Diceros bicornis minor: one gene and its partner. The protein of the gene in region 2 interacts with the protein of the main gene of each other region in a biochemical or structural test. Links are inferred from orthologs where the notes say so. Each region holds a gene or a part of one and is shown on either strand. Other genes may lie near its edges.

Region 1 (10,064 bases), on a different chromosome or scaffold from region 2:
TGGGTAATTCTCCATAATCTAGCATTCCTAATAAAAAGAAGTCAATCCTAACTGTCATCAGAAAACTACCATTTGGTTTTTAAAGAGCACACAGTACAAAGAAAACCTAATAAGGTCATTCCTTGACGACTAGAATAGGAAAAAAGTCTGAAGCACTGTTTCTGATTCATCTTCAACAGAGTAAGCAGACAGTGGTTAAAACAACTCTGTGTGGTAGGACATCGTAAGAAGGGAAAAAATAACCTGAAGGTGAACTCTATTAGTAAATTTGATCCTTCTTCAGTTGTACAAATGGTTTGCTGATGGTAACTCTGGCTATGAAACGACTGCCTAATGGTACTACAGCACATTTGGAAAAAAATAACTAATAGTATTCCTTACATAAGGAATATTAATTAGTTGAAATATATATATAAAATTTTCAAAAATAACAATGACTAAGAGGCACCTTCTCTCCTCCATCTCTCTGTGCACAGCTCTGCTCTCTCCCTAAGCAGAAATCCTACCCAGGCAAGGACTCTCTCTCTGAACTGAAGGAGCCACTAAAACGGAAAATGCCACTGTTTTCTTAGTGACACTGATCTTCTGTTCCTAAGACTCCATTCCAAGGCCAAAGAGCTCAGCTCGAATCACTTGGAGACTGAAGTGAAGGGTCCCTCTTCCCAGTAGGGAGGCAGAAGAGCACCTCCACTCTAAAGTTTAAACTCATGAAATCCACGGGTCAAGGTTTAATGTGATAAGACATCAACATAACATGGCACATCTGATCAGGCTCTCACACCCAAAGGAATGACTGACAAGCCAGACTCAAGTTCTAACACACTCAGAATGAATTTCCCTTCAAACAGCATGTCAAATTTCTCTCCAGTTAATTCAGGACTGAAAATACCATAGAGGGTTCTAAACTCCTACTCTCTTTAAACAAATTCAATCACTACTAATATACTTTCTAGGGGATGTTCAAGGCAGCTAGCTGTGTGTAAAACTAAGATTTTTATGAGCTTTCATTACTTACTTAAATTGGAATGACCACCCACTGCTCTTTTTTTTTTTTGTGAGGAAGCTCAGCCCTGAGCTAACATCCATGCCAGTCCTCCTCTTTTTGCTGAGAAAGACCTGCCCTGAGCTAACATCTATTGCCAATCCTCCTCCTTTTTTTCCCTTTTTCTCCCCAAGGCCCCAGTAGATAGTTGTATGTCATAGTTGCACATCCTTCTAGTTGCTGTACGTGGGATGCCGCCTCAGCATGGGTGGACAAGCAGTGTGTTGGTGCTCGCCCGGGATCCGAACCCGAGAGTGGCGGAGCGCGCGCAATTAACTGCTAAGCCACGGGGCCCGCCCCCAGCCACTACTCTTAAAGTCTTCCCTTGAAACAAGAGTTGTTAGTAAAGGCGGCTCATGAGGTTAGCTCATAGGAGGACCCATGACTGAGGAAAAGTACTACCAAGCTTAATATCAATCACTCAACAAACGCGTGCTGAGGCCCTGAGATGTGTATGGGACTCTGAGCAGAACCCCTCCCTGTCTCCCAGGGTTTACAGTCTAGTTGGCAAGACATGACCTAAACTAGTATGTGACTATGTGCTAAAAATAAATAGCACAGACAATATATTTCCTAAATATTTGACAAAGGAGATTCTGATTGCTGTGGGCTAGGGTGGTCAGACGCTTGCTTTAGAGAGGACGATGAGCTGAACCTAAGAATGGCAGGATTCAGAAAGGTGGGGAGGAAGGTCCTGCAGGCAGCCTTTCTGTTTATGAAATATTTTCACATCCACATTCATTTCTTGTAAGAATCCTTGTGGATAAGAAGCCAAACACATCCTCAGTTTACAGACGAGAAAAGTGAGAACAAGACGACTTGACTAGTTGATACAATAAGCAATGAAATGTCCAGCAGCCCAGGCCAGTGTGGGAGAGAATAAGGAAAATTCAACCACAGCACAGGACCCGTGGGCGACATAGCACCGAGAGAGGAAAAAGAAAGAGACTGAGCGCCTAGGGACTACTTAGGAAAGTGTTCCGCGACAGCCCAGGTGAGAAGGAAGAAAGGCATGAATTAGAAATGCACAGAAGAAATTAGACTGGTAACATTCGCTTTAAAATGTAATTACCAAGAAAACAACGACAAAAAAAACTTTACGGTCTCCCTTTTATAAGTCAGTTTCAGGGAGGAAAACCTCTAACCAACAAATCTCCCGAATATCTACTGGGAACCCAAAGGGCTTAATAATTTACCAACAAACTCTCTAATACCATCAGAGATTTTAAACAGCTTTATAGATTAAAACTGGAATTATCAACAATATCGTTGGAATCACAAGTTCACAAATTTCAGGGTTGCCTAAACAAGTAATACTCCTATACAATTTAACGAGCAGTACTATGCCTTTTACTAAGTTTTCTGAAGATTTTTGGATTTTTCTATTCACAACAGTTTGATGTGGTCAACTGAAGGCCGACTTATTCCCACACGTAAGCCCCGACCCTGCAAAGAGCAAGGACCCAACAAACCTTTGCAGAATAAACGAGGCCACTATCCAGGCAACTCTGCTCCAAAGTAAAGTTCCCAAAATTTCGGAATCAAGTCTGGAAGAAAAACCTTTCCACTACCGTTCACCAGCCTTCCCAGCCGAGGCCTCAACGTCCCGTCCTCCCACCGCGCCCTCCCCGCAGATGACAACCGCTCCGGCCCGCCCGGGCAGCTCCCCCGAGCCCGGCGCAGGAGCGGCGGGCGCTGAGTCTCGCGGCGGCGGGGCAGCGCCGGGAAGGGGCTGCTCGCGCGCCCTACTCACCGCGACGGGGCGGCCGTGCTCTGGGCCGTCGGCGGCGTCGAGGCGCGGGGCCGGGGCGGGCGCCGGGGCCGGGGCGGGCGGCTGCCGGTGCTTGCCGGCGCGCTTGGCCTTGGCCTGGATGCAGCGCTGGTGCAGGGCGAAGGTGTGCTGGCGCTCGAGCTCCAAGCGCTCGGGCGACACGGCCTCGTAGCGGGCCTCGCAGGTGCTGTGGTGGCGCCGGCACAGCTCGATGCGCCGGCGGAGGCGCTCCATGACCGCGCTGTGCCGCGGCAGCGCGAACTCCGCCATGGGGCAGGTGGGCAGCACCATGGGCCGCGGGCTGCTCGGGCCGGGCCCGGGGCGGGCCTCTCGGGGCCGGCTGGCACTGCGGGCTCCGCTCCCGCCGGCGGCCCGGCCGCCTCACGGCCGCGCCATGGCCCCGCGGGCTGCGGAGCGGGATAGCGCGCGGTAGCGGGTCTTCCTGCGGCCCCGCTCGGCCCTACCCGGGCCGGCGCTCGCTGCCTACCTCAGGCCGCGGCCTGTCCCCGCCGCCCCGGCCCCATTGTTTTCCGCGCCGCCGCCGCCGCCATCTTAAAATTGTTTTCGGGGCTCTCGGAAGAGGGCGGGGCCCGGCGGCGATCCTTGCGTCACGGCTGACGAGCAGGGACTGCGGCCAATCAGAGGAGAAAAGCGGGCCGCCGAGGGACGGCGCCGAGCACGCAAGAGGCGCGGGGGCTCCCGAGCGCAGTTTAAAAGGAACCCTCAAGAGAGGGGCGGAGGGAAGCCCTGGGCGGGCCTCAATTCTGGGCGTCGGGCCGAGGATGACCGACCCGAGCAGGTCCTAAACGCCGCCCCCGCGGGCAGGCCCTTCCGGGTCCAAGGAAAGCCGGACAGTCGGCGCGGTGGAACCGGCTGGACGCAGACGCCCGCCTGAAAGCACAGCGCTTCACCATTTTCTTCGGCAGCCTCTTGAATTCGGCTTTGCTAAGCTCAAAAGTAGCCACGCTCTTCAATGTCAGCTGCTTTTCTTCGACCTCATTCCTTACACCCAGCCTCGTAATGGGTCAGAATAAGTGAACTGGAAGACCTTTCCTCTTGCACCATTCTGAATCACTGGGACTATTTCCATTTACATAAAAGTTTGAACAAGTTTCAAAAATTTAGAATTACTTTAAAAAAAAAAAAAAAAGCCCCAGCAGACGTGAGGGAGGAGGGTGTGGAAAGCCTAGCTCCATTAGTGAGGACTAGAACTGCAAAGGATGATGCGCCAGTCAAAAACGGGAAGCCTGGACTGCAAGCTTTACATGTAAAAGATGACCGATCTGTTAGGTAAAATTGAGTCACTCAACAAAATCCAACCAAAGACAATTAACCTCTAGTATTTATAACTAGTAGGCAAAGGGAGTAGGACACTGTAAGGGAAAAAACAGGAGCAAAGAAAGAGGTAGTACTAAAACTAGATAGTCTGCGTTGGCCCAAGAGATACTAGGAACAGGTAGGTATTGGCACCCTAATTGCTAAAAAGTTAAAACACAAGGTGTCAGGAGGATGCACATGAGAGGCACCATCAACAGCTCTCACATTTGTTACAGTTTTTACTAGGACCCACGAAAATGTTTATTTTAAAATCAGAAGAAAAAAATGAGTTCTTATTCAAATAGTGTCTTTACACAAATGCAGTAAAAAAATACAAGCGGCGCACCAAGGCAAAATTTGCCTCGAGTTCGTGAATGCTATGTGGTCCTGCTTTTTACCAGTCTTCAAACATACAAATTTGACACCAGCATTAAATAATTTCTTTTCCAATAGGAAACAAAATAGTAACTAGGAGCACTATATTTTGTATATTTCTCTTCAGTAGGCAATCCAAAAGCCTAGTAACGCAGAAAAAAATTAGTTTTGGCCTAACTCTCAAAAACATCCCTGAAATATGTAAGAACATGTAAAAGACGGACTCTGATTCTGAACAAAGATTTTCAAATAAAAATTTAAAAGTTCAATGGTTCCCAAAAATCTTAAAGAATATTATTTACAAACTCCCTTTCTGAGCTGCTACCCTCTTAAAAAACAGAAACTATTGAACCCTAATTGAGCAGGAAAAGGAGGCAAACCTATACTGAACTGATTGGATCAAATGCATGTGCTGAGATGTAGTAATTATTCCACTGCTGATAATACTGTTGGCCCTCCTTAAGCTCGAGTTCTGCATCCAGGGATACTGACTTGAGCATCCACGGATTTTGGTATTGGGGAGGGGCCTGGAACCAAACCCTGCAGATACCAAGGGAGGGCTGTAGTTTCTGCATATTAGCAAACTCTCAACTAGTAGGAACATTAACCCACTTTTGAAACAGTAAAACAAGCTAATTGAAGGTTACCATGAAGAAGTTCAGTCAAAAGCAGACGCTTAACGCAGGGCTTTAATGTAACACCATTTAGTAACATGACAATTTGAGAAAAGAGAAGAGTATTTTGTGGATAAGAGTAACTGAGGAACACATCTGATAGAGTGGGCGTTTTACAACAATGGGACAGATAACCAGCATGTAAAATCATAATGTAAGTACCTATTAAAGAGCTGAAAATTGCTGCTGGTCATTCACTAATGTGTAAAACATTTAATGAGAAAGCTGCACCTTCAACAAAGAGAGCAAAAAAGAGAACCAAGTTTTTTTTTTTTTTTTGGACAAACTTTGCTAAACCACCCTGGAAAGGCAAATGAACACTCTACTGATTTACATTTGTCATTCCATAGCTCAGCTGGAAGAAACTGTAAGTGAGGCATGAAATAATGGCAACAAAGAGTGAAGACGGCAGATTTCTGGAAATGCAATGATCCCACACATTTGCTTCAAGGAGAAACCTGCAGACATATTTTCAGGTCTTGCTAAGTAACTGTTTATTTGCACTCAATACATTTGGGAAAGTGTGCTACATAGCTAAGGTCACTGTGACCACAGAACAGATGAAAAGGAGAAAGCACTGAACAGCAAGAAAAATGCATCCCACCCTCATAAGAATTTAAGTGAACCAGTAAAAAACTGAAGATAAACAAAATAAACAGATACAGCCTTCATGTTTTATGAATATACTTCCTCCCCAATATCTCCCCAATATAAACACTCTGGAGTGTTTATATATTCAGTGCAAGGAACAGTATGATCGGTACATTTGAAACACTTCTAAAGAAAGAATAAAGCTAAAACAACATCTAATTCTGAATACATTTCAGTGTGGTGTAATAATGATATTACACTAGAGCGATGGGGGAGAGGCTCTGATAGCACCCATCTGCATTCCACATGAAAAAACAAACCTAAGATCACTTTTTAAAAATTCTACAAAGCAGATAAAAAAAAAGTTTCTTTTTGAACAGGACTGCTTTATCATGTAATTTTAGATGCAAGTGCTACATGAACTGCAAATGAAGACTTAAAAGGCTTAGCAGCTACAAAAATCAGATAACTCATGCTATATGTCACTCCTCCCATAAATACTTTTAGCCTGGGTTCAATTAGTCAATTCTGAATTGGCTCGCCTCTGGATTAGACTTCTAAAGTCTTTACACAGAGTAAAAGAAATGGATACAAATGAAAGATAGTATTTTATCCTGTACTTTGACCCTGAAAAGGTGTGGGTCTGCTTAAAAAAGAAGAAATATACACACAATCACAATAAAGCTTAATACTATGCAGAGCTTATAATCATTTTCAGCAATGGACTGCAAGCTGCGCTGTGAAGAAAACGCATAGCAGAGGAGAAAGCTGGAAACTTGAGGAAATAGGGAAGGAAAACAGTGTCAACACAGTGGAAGAAGCAATGAAACATCTGCATCTCTGGGGCTCACAGGCCCCAGTAGCGTTCCTTATAGAGCCACCTGCTCGAGAAGGCTGGAGCCCAGACACGCCCGGGGTGTGAAGTATGAATGCCCAAGTGCCACATTATGCCACCTCCTCCTCTAATTGCAAAGCCGTCTGGGAACTCAGCGGTTCCAAGGGCAACAGAACACACACACTTTATGGTCTAACCAACATCAAGTGAAAAGATTTTTTCTCTTTGTATATCTATTTTTAATACAACTTAAACAGAACTTCTATATAAATTTGGGCTTCCATCCAATCCCTCTCCTCAATTTCTTTAGGAGGAATTGAGTAACGGAAGCAAGCAAAACAAGATTATAACCGCAAGTGATGGCACTTTAAACATGATTATCGATTTTAAGGGACAGAGACACTTGAATGTTTTGTAATACCAAACTTAAAAAAACAAAACCAGTTATAAAAACTGCAATTTCATCTCCCTAGCATTTCTAAAGGTGGTGTTATTTCTGCAAGGACAAATTAATATATTAAATTAAGCCAAGATTTTAAACACTGGCAAAGTTCTATCACTCTATCTTAAAAACAAAGATGTTTAAAAACAAAAAAATACATGTTAGTTGCCTCATGTTACATTTCACAACCATTATGTTAGATGCTTTCTTTCTACAAAAACAGGGTCCTTTATGTCACAACTGCAATTATTTACTGCTAGATGTTTAAAATTACAGGGGCTAGTGTTCAACTGGAACCTGTTGATGGTTGACGTCTAGAGGATTTCTGAATTTCAACCTAAGGTGTGCCAGGTCCTCTCCTGGGACCACACTTGCGGGGGGCTGGGGAGGGGGAGAGGAAATCACAGATCAAGTTCTTAAGATTGTTTCACTCTCTTCGTGGCTTTCTGTTTCTTGGTGATCTGTTCAAAATTTCATCCTCCTGTTGGTTGAAAAAACAAGAAATTCACTATAATTAGCATGTTAAAAAAAAGTAAAAGTTCACCAACTTGTCAAGATCAGCCAGGCTGAGGGTAAGCCATCTGAGGAAGAAAACGAGAAGAAAAATGATTAGAAGAAAATGCACCAAAACCAATGATTGTCTCAGAGGTAGTGGGATTATGTGTGTTCTAATTTAGTCTTTTTTGTTTTCCATAAACATGCACTTTTCTCAATCTAACCCATAAACATTTTCTTTAAAAACGACCAGACACCATGCTTTCACATATCCTCCTTAATCCTGAATAATCTACTGGCCTGTGGGCACATCACCCCCATTTTGAGGCTGAGAAAGCTAGGATTCATGGGGACTGAAGACTAAGCCGAATCCCATAGAACACTCAAGACCACAAGCCCAGTGCTCTTTCTACTCTACATATCGACTTCTTATTGTGCAAGCAATTTTGGGGAATATAAAAAAGTATGTGAGACTGGCCCCTACCTGAAAGAACTCTGCGTTCTGGTTAAGACAAAATATATCCATTGAAAATATAAACAGCATTGACTTTCATCAATAGGAGGGCAGAGTTGTGGTAGCTGGAAATGCAAACTGGGTAGTTTTCCAGGAAGGAACAGAATGAAATAGAGAAGTGCTTGAAAAAGGGACGTTGGTGAGAAAGGTGCAGACTATTCTTTCTCTCATACCTCATATCCAATCCACCAGAAACCCCAGATCCAGAAGTCCAAAATGACTTCTCACACCCTCCTCTCCTATCACCCTGCTCAGGGCCACCATGGATTATTATAGCAGTCTCCTAGCTCGTCTCCTTCATTCTCTCTGGTCTATAGAAAACACAGCAGCCAGAGTAATCAGACCCAGCCACTCCTGTGCAACCACTGCAAGGGCTGCCGACTTCACTAAGAGGGAAAGCCAAGCCCATAACAGCCCAGGAGGCCCCACCTAATCTGGAGCCTTCCTCACCCTCCTTTTCTCCACCCTCTTGCTCTACTGCCACACTGGCCCTCTATCTTGTGTGTTTGTGTGTGTGTGTGTGTGTGTGTGAGGAAGATCAGCCCTGAGGTAACATCCGATGCCAATCCTCCTCTTTTTGCTGAGACAGATTGGCCCTGGGCTAACATCCGTGCCCATCTTCCTCTACTTTAGATGGGACGCCTGCCACAGCACGGCTTGACAAGCAGTGTGTCGGTGCGCGCCGGGGATCCAAACCTGCGAACTCTCGGGCTGCCTCAGCGGAGCGCACACTTAACCACTGCGCCACCGGGCCAGCCGCCACACTGGCCCTCTAGACTACCACTTTAGGCCCCTGGACTGGCTGTTTTCTCTGCCAGGAATGCTCTTCCCATAGGCATCTCTACCTTTATCTCTTTCAAGTCTTTGCTCAAATGTCACCTACTCAGTGAGGCCTACCATCTTTTTTTTTCCTTTTTGCTGAGGAAGATTCCCCCTGAGCTAACATCTGTGGCTATCTTCCTCTATTTTGTATGTGGGTCGCTGGAGTAGTGTAGGTCCGTGCCCAGAAACCGAACCTGGGCCACCAAAGTGGAGTGCACCGAACTTAACCACTGAGCCACGGGGCCGGCCCCGAGGCCTACCATCTTTAACATTGCAACCCACCCCACCTCCAGCACTTTCAATACCTTTTCTCGTCCTACTTTTATTATTCCTGGCCCATCACTTTCTAACATACTACTTACTTCCTTATAATATCTACTGCTTATTGTCTGTTTCTTCCCACTAGAATTTAAGCTCCTCAAAGGCAAGACATCTTTGTCTTGTTCACTGATAATGCTTGGCACATAATGGGCTCTCCACAAATATTTACTGAATGAATGAATCCACGAGCAACAGGGACAAAAATTTTAGAATGCAGTGATTTGTGCAAGAAATACTTTTTAAGGGCACAGTGAGGAGAGAAAGATGATGAGACAGAACTGCAAACTAATAATCTGAAGTTCCCATCTTAAAAAGCATTTTATTAGTTTTCCCCTATGACCTTCTGCTTATTCCAGAAAACCATTTTTAGCACACAAAAATACTTCTGAGGTTCAGATGTAATTTGAAACTATAAAATGTTGACCTGTATTGCTAAGAATTCCACTTTTACAAAATTGGCTTTAATAGAATTTTTACCACCACAGCCACTGAAAATTACCCTAAGAAAATACTCCTTCTACTTAAATGTACCTTCAACTTAGTTGCTTGAAATACAAAATGTACTCCCCCCCTTTCTATTACCTCTGCTTTAGGTTTTCTATCTTCCTCCTCTTGACTGACTGTGCCACCATCGTCTTCAGCATCACTTTTTTGCTTCTCTTCTAAGACAGAAAGTCAAAGTGAAACAACTAAGCAAGAACCTGCTTTTAAGAGTTTGAAACAACATCTTAGGGTCTTGGCTTAAAACACATATTTTGGGGTTTACTTCTTACCAAGTTTCTCTTCACCTTCCTCCTCCTCGTCTCCCTTGTCCTTTTCCTCTTCCTTCTCTTCTTCTTCTTCTTCTTCCTTCACATCTGGTTGA
Region 2 (9,597 bases):
CCACAACACCCCCAAACTGTACTGCGAGTGGGGACCCGAGCCTCTCCACAGCCGGGCCTGGCTGGGGCCCGTCCCTGCTCTGGTCCCCAGCCCCCACACGGTGCCGCCCAGAGGTGGGGCCTCTGAGGACTGCGCTTCCGTTCCATCTTCCAAGTGGATCTGTGGGGTGTGCACAATGGGGTCTCTGTGGGCCGAGCTCGGCTGAGTGCCAGACCAGACTGAGGCAGGCTTCCCGCCAAGGAGGAGGGGGCACCAGGCCCCAGGGAGGAGACAAGGCCGGCACCCCAGCCCTGGTCCACGGCCTGGCAGAACCCTCAAGTAGCCCAGGTTTTGGGGGTGGGAGAGCACACTGAACCATTGCTCTGTCCCCCTGAAGGGCCTTACCCTGACGCTGGGCCGGGGGGGCCCTGCAACAGCCTGTACCCCAAGGCATCCCCTTTCTGGCCCAGGTGGCATGTAGTGCGGGCTTTGGCCCAGGGAGACCCCAGCGTCCTCTGGGCCAGGCTGTCCTTCCTCCCTGGTGGCACTGAGAAGGGACTGCTCCCTCTTGCCCCAGCACAGCTCTCCTTCCTGCCTCCCACAGCCTCTGCAGAAGCATGGAGACTCTCACCTGCCCCCCAGGGGCGAGGGGCAACGTCGGAGCTGGAGTGCGCCGTGGCGGGTGGGGAAGGGAGTCATGCATTCTGGGAAGCCACGCATAATTAATCAGACAGCATTAATCCGCCTCCCCCAACAATAGCCACTGCACTTCCACTGAATCCCAGCTGTCGGTCTCTGAATGAAAGGAAACAAGATTTAGGGCATCAAGCGTCGGTGAGGCTTCTGCAGGAGAAGAAAAAGGCCCCAAAAACGCAAAAAAAAAAAAAAAAAGTAGTGTGCATTCATTAGTGTTTCACAAAGACACAATCCGCTTTGTCCACTAAACTGCTCACAGACCTGCTTAATTGGCTTCAGTGTGGGGTAGGGGTGGGGGGCAGCAGAAGGAGGGGGTTGCTTGCCCGCTGGCTGGGCAGGCAATGAGCCTGGGCTGGGGGTTGTCAAGGGAATGGGCCCTCAGCAGTTGGAATGAGGGCGCGCCGACCCGGCTGGGGAGCCACTTCTTCCTCTGCAGCCTCCGGGGCCGGGGGGAGGGGGGGACCTTTCTCCAGCCACCAAGCACCTCCTCATTATTCCCATCAGGAACAAACTCAAGTTGAAGGGCACCAGGCACAGCAGAAAAACTTCCCTGAGGCTGACTGGTACTCACGGGCAGGTGGGCAGCGATTCTAAACCGATTCCCTGCCCGAGTCAGGGCGAACCAGGCACGCACCCCCCTTTTCACAGCTGAAGACCCAAGGCTGGGAGGGTGAAGGGCCAGGTGGTTAGGGAGTTGGAGGTGCAGATGCCAGGACGGGAAACAAAGTTCTGGCAGGTACTCCCATCCCCACAACCCAGGGAGGTCAGCGCCACCAACAAGACGAGTTCCAACTTTTCTCCCCAACCTCACCTGAGGCCAGAGGGGAGTGAGCTGGGGAAGGCAGAGCGCTGAGAAGGGTGGGTTTGACTTTGAAACAGCTAATTCCTTGCTAAGAAGCATTGCCTGCCTGGAAGAGGCATCACCTGCCGGAGGAGAGGCTCACCTGCCTGGAGGAGGCATCACCTGCCCGGGGGGGGGGGGAGATGCTCACCTGCCCGGGGGAGATGCTCACCTGCCCGGAGGAGGCATCACCTGCCAGGGGGAGATGCTCATCTGCCCGGGGGAGGCATCACCTGCCAGGGGGAGATGCTCATCTGCCTGGGGAAGATGCTCACCTGCCCGGAGGAGGCATCACCTGCCAGGGGGAGATGCTCATCTGCCCGGGGGAGGCATCACCTGCCAGGGGGAGATGCTCATCTGCCTGGGGAAGATGCTCACCTGCCCGGAGGAGGCATCACTTGCCCGGGGGAGATGCTCACCTGCCCGGAGGAGGCATCACTTGCCCGGGGGAGAAGCTCACCTGCCCAAGAGAGATGGAGAGATGCTCCCCAGCTGGCAGGGTGGTGGGGGCTGGGCTCCTCTACAAATGCTCCAGAGCCTTCCTGGCAGCTCAGTTGTTTCTCAGGGACTTAGGAAGAAATGGGTTACCAGGAATTCTCACCTAGCCCCCCAGGAGCCCAAGGGGGCCCACAAAAAAGTGCTCAAACCTCCAGTGGCCAGACCAGCTCCACACGCAGCATAATTGCTGGTGATTAAGTAATTGCCAGACTTTGTCCAATAAAAGTAGCACGTGACTGCGCCCAGCCTTCTGGGCCATCTCCAGAAGACAATGGCCTAGTGTTCTGTCCCTGCCGGCCGCCACAGAAGGCAGGGGCTCTGCTCCCGACAAAAGCAACAGGTCCCCGCAGGGGCGTACTCACACGCAGGCTTCAGTGCCGTTGGCAAGCACTTCACACTTCCCGCCATTCAAGCAGCTCTCGCCGGGGTGGGAGCATTGCAGGCCTGGGGAGGGGCGAGAGGAGAGGTCAGCCCTCAGCTCCGGGAAGGGCCCACCCCCAGGGCACCGCCCACCCCTCACCATGCAGGCTCTGCCCTGTCCTGGGGTTGCTTGGGCCCCGGGGCCCCAGGAAGCCCCGGCCTGAACCCCAAGGCTTCAATACTCTGCCCAGAGTTCTGTAGTCAGAAATGGACTGCAGAGGAGGAACAGGCTGGCTGGGTGGCAGGTAGACGGGTCATGCTCAAAATGGGGTGAGGTGGCCTGAAATGCCCCCTGGACAGCAGTGGAGAAAAGCTGAGATGATCCTGGGCCATTCTCCCAAACTCCGCGCCCCCCCACCCCGTCTTCACTGGGGAGCTGGGCTGGGCTGGGGCCCCTATCCAGCCACCGGGATTGTCTTGCTGTTCAAACACGTTCTGCGAGGGGGCAGTGCTGGGGGGGGGTGGCCACACTCAGCTCCCCCGCTCGTGGGAAAATGCGACAGCTGCAAGGCCGGCCGCCCCGCCCGCCAACAAAGCGCTGGCCGGGGAATCAGAGCAGCCCATTGTCATGCCAGGGCCGCCTCCTGGGGCACCAGGACTGCACCCTGGGGACCTGGCCCTGCCTGCACAGACACCCAATACCTGCTCCTGCGGGCAGGCATCTTTAGGGGCAGCCCTCTGCCACACCCAGGGGAGGGGGATGAAAACGCCCCATTTGGAAGGAATTCGACCCCATCCCCAAGAAAGGATCAATTAATCAAGCCCCTCCTCCCCATCTTACCAGGGCTGTGTAAATTAAGCCCCTCACCGGGGCAGGGACCGGGTGTGACATAGAACCCTACCTTCTGGAAATGGGAAACTAATTCTCACCTCCAACATTTTAAGGAAAGAGAAAAATTAATCACACTAGATTCCTCGCAGCCCCCTTCGACGGGAAGTGGAGAGAGGAATACGCGCCCCCTTGCCAAGTCCCACTCTCCACTTCTGTAAGATTTCCAAACTTGAACTCGACAAAGTGAAAGTCCCACCAGTTGCAGCGGAGTCTTCCGCACCCCCGCACTCCCCCGCAAACTGTCTGCAAGCCAGGATAGGGGGCGGCCATCCGGCGTGTGGGGGACACCGGCGGGCGGGGCGGCTAGGAGCCCAGGGATCCCTGGGTTCGCGCCCCTCGACCAGCCCTGCGCGATCTCTCGGAACGGGCAGGAGGCCGGGCCCGCCTCGCGCCCCGCTGCCCACCTTGCTCAGCAACCACGCCAGGCCGCGAACGCAGCGCCCCGGACCCCACACTGCGCGCCCCAACATCCGCTCCCGGCGCGGGCCAGAGGCGAAGAAAAAAGATAAATGGCCCCCAAAGCAACAGGAAACCAAAACCGACTCGATTCAAATCGAAAAATAGTAGGCAGTTCGCCCGCCCGCCCCGGCGGCGAGCCCCAGGAGCGGCTGGTGAAGGGCGAGCCCAGGGCTGGGCCTCCGGGGCCCCCAGCCTCCCACGCCGGGCTTCAAACCCGGCTCCAGGCGCGGGCAGCGCGAGTCCGCCCCGGCAGGGCAGGCGGCGCGGAGGAGGGTCAGTCCTTCTCTCCCAGCCCGGGACTCTGTACCCCCTTCCCCCGCTCCGGGGCGCCCGGCCCCCCTCCCCACCCTGGCCGCCTGTTCCCAGCCACCCGGAGCGCGCGCGTAGGGCGCCGCCAAAGTTTCCGAAGGCGCGGAAAGTTGCGGGTTCGCGGGCGCACGGGCGCCTACCTCGTGCGGCGAGCGCAGGCAGCAGCGCCAGGCAGAGCAGGGGCGCCAGGAGTGGCGGCATGCCTGCCCGCCGGCTGCCCGCTGCGCCCGGTGGCGGCCTCCTGCGCCGGGCCGGCGAGGCTCGGGCGCACACACGCGCGCGCCGGACGGTCTCACGGGCGGCAGCTGCCTGCTACTGCCCTCTCCTTCCTAGCTGGCGGGCGGCGCTGTGCTCTCGCGGCCTCCGGGCCCGGCTCCACGCCCCGACTCGTTCTTTCGCTGCGCTCGCGCCCGCGCCCCACGCCCCTGCACTCCCTCCCGCGGCCGAGGCACTAGTGAGGCGCAGGCGGCCGTGCGCTCCGCCCCCGCCCCGCCGGCCCCGCCTCCCGGGGCCCCGCCCCCGCCGATCCCTCCGCACCCCTCGCCCTTTCGCTGGCCGCGCCCCTCCGCACGCTCCGACCAGCCCTGCGCCTCTTCGGGCTGGGGCGCGCGTCCGGAGCCCGGGTCCTCCGGCGTTGGGGGCCGCGGCGGTGCGGAGGGCTTCGGGGGCCGGCCTTGGGGACTACTTCTTGTTGGAAAGTTTTCAGGGGCCAAAAGTTTGGTCCGAGACTGCGGAAGGATCCGGCTCTGGCTGCTGCCGCGTCCGGCGACAATAGCAAAGATTTGCATCTCAATAGCAGAAGAGGCGCGGGCGGAGTGGGGAAAGGAGAGCCTGTGGGGGGCCGTGCGCCACCGGGACCTGGGCCCAGGGAGGTGGGGAGGAGCGACCGAGGCCAAGTTTGGGGGGACCCCGGGCTCAGGAGAGGGGCTCTGGAAGCAGCCCCGCCCTCGGCAGCCGTGGGTGCGCCCCTCGCCCAGGGGCTCCACTGCCAGGAGCCCCACGGTCGCAGCTTTAAGCCTCCGGGAGACCGAGGCCAGACACCCCTGGCTGTGACGTCCCGGGCACTTGACCTGAGATATGGTGGCGCTGCAGCCGCAGCCTCTGGAAAGGGGCTCTGGGTACCCCAAGGAACAGCTTGGAGCCAACACCTGGCCGGACGGATTGCGCACCCGCTCCTCAGGAGGGACCTGCCTCTAGATGCTCCTTGGTCACTATCGTGCCCCTTCTGGCGCCTCCCGCCTAACGTGCCCCGCAAAGCGCGCGCTGGTCAGGTAGACCCGCCGCGAGCGCCGGTGCTGCCCAGGGCCCCCCCAAGTGCTCCTTCCAGGTGATTTGTTTCTCCGCCGCAGTACCAGATTTGGGCATCCTGTGCCAAGCCAGGTTAAGCTCTGGACGTCCAAAACGCCTGCCATAGTCCCTACGAAATCAAAGTTCAGGGCCTTGCACTGGAGACAGACAGCCCCCCACCATCCCAACACAGGGTGGTGAGCGGGATGGCAGAAGGTACACCCACCCAGCCCTGGCATCCTGGTGGCCTTCCTGGAGTAGGTGATGCCAGAGGGGAGCCTTAAAGGCTGCAAGGGACTTAGCTGGGTGAAGGGCATGGGGCACAAGCACCCACAGGACTGCAGAAATCCCAGAGGCGGGCAGAGAAGCAGTCCTTGCCATGGAGGTCCAGAGAGGCGGGCAAGAGTGGGGTGCCTCGTGGTGGGCAGATTGCACACCTGACCCCAGCCCGCCCTTCTTGGCACACCTGTTGCTGGACGCTAGTGGCAGCTGAGATGCTGTTGTGAGCACAGGCAGTCCAGGCCGCGGCAGCTGCTCCTGGGAGCCTCCCTCGCTGCCTCGTCCCAGAAGCTGGCGGCACTTCTCAGAGCCTGGGCTAACTTCTCTCGGGGTCAGTGCCCGGGAGAGGAGGCGCCTGGAGGCAGCAAAGATGTTTATATAACAGCAGCCCTGCAGCCTGAAGGAGCAGATTTTCCGTAGAAGGAAGAGGGGTGCTTCAAAGTCCCTCCCCTGCCCCCCCTCCGCCAGCTCACAGATGCTGGCTCTGTGAGCCACATCCCCCTCTACTTCAAGGGATGGACCGAAGGCCTTAGGCAGGGCGCTCCTCAGAGAGCGGCTCCCTATGTGCCCTCCGTTAGAGCCCTCTGTCTCTGCCAATAGGCCCCAGGCCAGACGTAAAGGCCCGTCCAGCCCTGGCTTTGGAGGAAGTTCTCACCCTTCTGCCAAGGAGCAGCAATAGAGGAGGGGGAGAGGGAGGAGGGCAGTCTTACCTGGGTCTGCCCAGTGTACCAGCTCTACTCTGGTGTCCCCCCAGGAGCCGGGCGCTCTCGTTATTAGCCTGTGCTACAGACGGGGCAAGCAGACACACAGGCCTCCAACTCCTGTGCCCCTGGCCACCTGGGGTACCCCCTGGGCAACAGGGGCCGAGGAGACCCCAGGAAAGCCAGAAGTGGCTGGGGCTGGGGAGGGCTTGTGTGTGAGGCCCAGGACGGTCCTGGGCTGGGCCTCCCTCCCCTCCAGTTCTGGGAAGGGGGCAGACTGGACCATGGCAAGTGGTTGGGAAGCTTTTTCATTCACAAATTCGGCCAGAGATTTCCTGCCTCCCCTTCTCGTCCTTCTTTATCAACCTTCCGGGGTGGCGGGGGGGAGGTTGAGGGAGGGGAGGGAGGGGAGTCCTGATGGCCTAGGACCTGGAGACCCTCTCCCATGGGGCACAGCCTGGGAGCAGTTGCAGAAGTGAAGGAGAGACAGGAAGAGGAGGTGCATGTGGCCTGGCCACCCCACAAATCCCGTGGGGGGCAGGGGCTGGGACGCCATGAAGTGGAATTGGGGCACAGCAGTGTGAAGACATTTTGGGCCTCCTCTCCTGGCTTAGGGTGGGGGTCCAGACGAGGTTCGCAGGGCAGTCCCCTGCTGAGTGGAGATGCCCCAAGCTGCCTGGGGAACCTGGAACCAGTGGGGGGAAGCTGCAGGCCTGACTTGCAGGGGGTGACTTACTGCCACTTTCTTCTCCAGGGGCCACCTCAAGCTCCCCTGGGCCAGCTTGCTGGGCCCTGAAGGGGAGAAGGCCATCATGTTCCGTCTGCGCCCCGGGCAGACCGAGTCAGGGCAGCTCCCCTCTCTCCTGCCTCCAGAGATACCGGGGTGCCAGCATCAGGGTAGACTGAGGGGACCGTGCTGTCATTGGCCCATTCCTGCCCCCACAAGAAAACCCATCCCAGCCCCCTCCTGAGAGGGGAAGGGGTCAGCAGTGACGTGGTCTGCATGGCGCAGGGGGTGGTCAGCGTGTTGAGGCTCCCCAGGGTCCTCAGGTGCAGCCAGGGCTGAGAATCCAGGTCCTGGGGTACCGGTCACTTTCCTTCCTGCAGTGACGGTCTTGGTGCTTCAGGTGCACCCCTGTGACCCCTGAGCCCAGGGTGGGGTGGCATCATTCTCGCGATTTTTCTGAGACATTGAAATGAGACTGGCTTGGAGTCAGGCCAGGTTGGGGCCCTAGTCTTCAGCAGGCAGGTGGGCCCCCCGGAAGGGTGTGGTGGGCTGTCTCTGTACGTGACAGGGCTGGGCATACATGACAGGGCTGCCCTCCCTGCTGTCAAGTATTGTTCACAACGTGGGGGCAGCAGGTCAGACTTAGGGTACAGGCACAGGCCTGCTTGGTGTGGGCTACAGTGGCCCCAAACACCCCTCAGGGGGGTTGTCTGGGGGAAGGGCTTAGAAGCTGAGCTGAGGGTGTGGGGGGCCTGTGATGGGTGCACAGGCCTGACCTCAGTGGGAGGTGCCGGTGCTGGTGGGGGCAGCTGTGGGAAGATTCCAGAACACAAGGGGTAGGGCCCATCCCCCTTTGGAAGTTGATTGTAAAACATATCTGACCTTCTTACAAAGAGAGGGCCTGGGGGCCTGAGAAGTGTCCAGCCTCTTATCTTGCCCCTTGTCCACCACAGCCAGGCCCACCACTGAGCTCTGACCGGCTGGCCCATCGAGAGACCATCACTGCCCCCTGGGCCTCAGTTTCTCCCTCCACCAAGTGAGTTCTAAAGTCCTGCCTGCCTTTTTCCATGGAAAACCAACTTCTCCTAGAGGTTTGCGCACTTCTCCAGGACGTGGTTTTAGCAGCTGTGTGGCATTCATTGCTGCGGGTGGACAGGCCAGGGCTGGCTCCCCAGGCTCCGGTGCTGGACGCTTGGCTGTGAGCAGCGTGTCTCCATGTGGGGCATGGGGGGTGCCCACTAGCTCCTCGCTGCTCTTTCCTAAGGATGGATTCCGGCCCACCTTGGAGGGCTTCCCCCTCGTTCTGAGAAAGGAGGGGGTAGACTGGGGTCTAGAGTTTGCTTCTCTGCCTGCCCCTCACCCTCCACGCAGGGATCCACTGTCCCCAGGCCCAGGTGTGCACCCAGCTGTCTGCACTGGGAGCGGGCTGGCGGGGTCACCTGCAGGTGCTGGGCATCTCCCCCGGCCAGCTTCACCAGGCCTTACCGGGGAAGACCCCTTGTGCCCTGCACCCCAGGCAGGCTGCATCAGGTCAGTTCTCTGCTCTGCACGTCTTGTCCTCTGCTGAAATGACCCCTCCCTCCTCCAGAAAGCCATTCCAGAGCCCTTGGGCTTCCCCGCTCCCTGCATCCATCTCTGGCATTCCAGGGGGATGTGCGATCCCAGATGCAGGTGCCCCCCACTGATGCAGACTGACCCTTGACTAACGGCAGGCGCAGTGAATGCAGGACTCTGCACAGGGCCCCGCCCTGCGGGGGTTCCTGTCCACCTGCCACCCACAGCAGTCACTACTTGGGAGCCCTGAGGCCTCTCGGCAGCTTGGGGCCAGGGCACCAGTTGGTTGTGAGCCCCCCTGCTGCCCCCGGGGGCCCAGGAAGGAGGGTCTGCATCCTAGAGGCAGGCACAGAGGCTGGGGAGCATGTTGCCCGGGCAAGTCCCCTGACAGGCAGCCTGCCTCCCGGAGCAGGTGAGCTGTCTATCTTGGGTGGTATGGGCTCCGAGGGCTGCAGGACTGGCCCCTGAGGCCGATCTGGTACTTGTCATTTGAGAAATGGGCTTTGGGGCACCCAGGGCAGTGCAGGCTCTTACAGAGACCACCTGCCTGTCTTTTCCTGGCAGCTCAGGGCTGAGTTCACCTGCCTCTCCCCAGCAGGCCCTGGGCTGCTCAGAGCACAGACCCCAGGGGTGGGTGGCCCTGGACACTGTCTCCCAAGCCCTGAGAAGGAGGGGCCCCTCTCGGACCTCTCCAGGCCGCCAGATCCCCTCAGCTGCCCACAGAGCCTGGGCTGAGCTGGGCCTGGGTTGGGCCCCTTGAGGCTCAGTGGCTCTCCTCTGGGCACACCAGGGAGACAGGCAGCCTCGGAGGAGGAAAGGGCAGGCCTGGGACTCCAGGGCATCCTGTGTGATTGCAGGGGCTGCTGAGAAGCAGGCCGGCCCTGCCAAAATCAGAGGGCTGCATGGAGGAGGGACATCAGAGAGGTGGGCGCAGAGAAGGCTATCGGAGCTCAGAGCTGACACCTCCAGGCAGGGGCTGGCCAAGGGGACTGAGGCCTCGACAGGGAAGCTGCCA

Evidence for each region.
Region 1: the proteins of NOTCH1 (region 2) and MAML1 form a complex in vitro, tested with the Homo sapiens proteins (2 studies listed by BioGRID). The link is inferred for Diceros bicornis minor from reciprocal best matches to the Homo sapiens genes NOTCH1 and MAML1.

What each region holds. Positions count from the first base shown.
Region 1 is NC_080740.1:92,683,463-92,693,526, reverse strand, and holds the start of MAML1 (mastermind-like protein 1), read right to left. Parts: upstream 3,898-10,064; 5' UTR 3,105-3,897; coding exon 2,796-3,104; intron 1-2,795. Other genes in the region: CANX (calnexin), read right to left, coding at 7,475-7,528, 9,782-9,861, 9,973-10,064. UniProt on the Homo sapiens protein: Acts as a transcriptional coactivator for NOTCH proteins. Has been shown to amplify NOTCH-induced transcription of HES1. Enhances phosphorylation and proteolytic turnover of the NOTCH intracellular domain in the nucleus through interaction with CDK8.
Region 2 is NC_080767.1:42,288,662-42,298,258, reverse strand, and holds the start of NOTCH1 (neurogenic locus notch homolog protein 1), read right to left. Parts: upstream 4,458-9,597; 5' UTR 4,236-4,457; coding exon 4,175-4,235; intron 2,459-4,174; coding exon 2,377-2,458; intron 1-2,376. UniProt on the Homo sapiens protein: Functions as a receptor for membrane-bound ligands Jagged-1 (JAG1), Jagged-2 (JAG2) and Delta-1 (DLL1) to regulate cell-fate determination.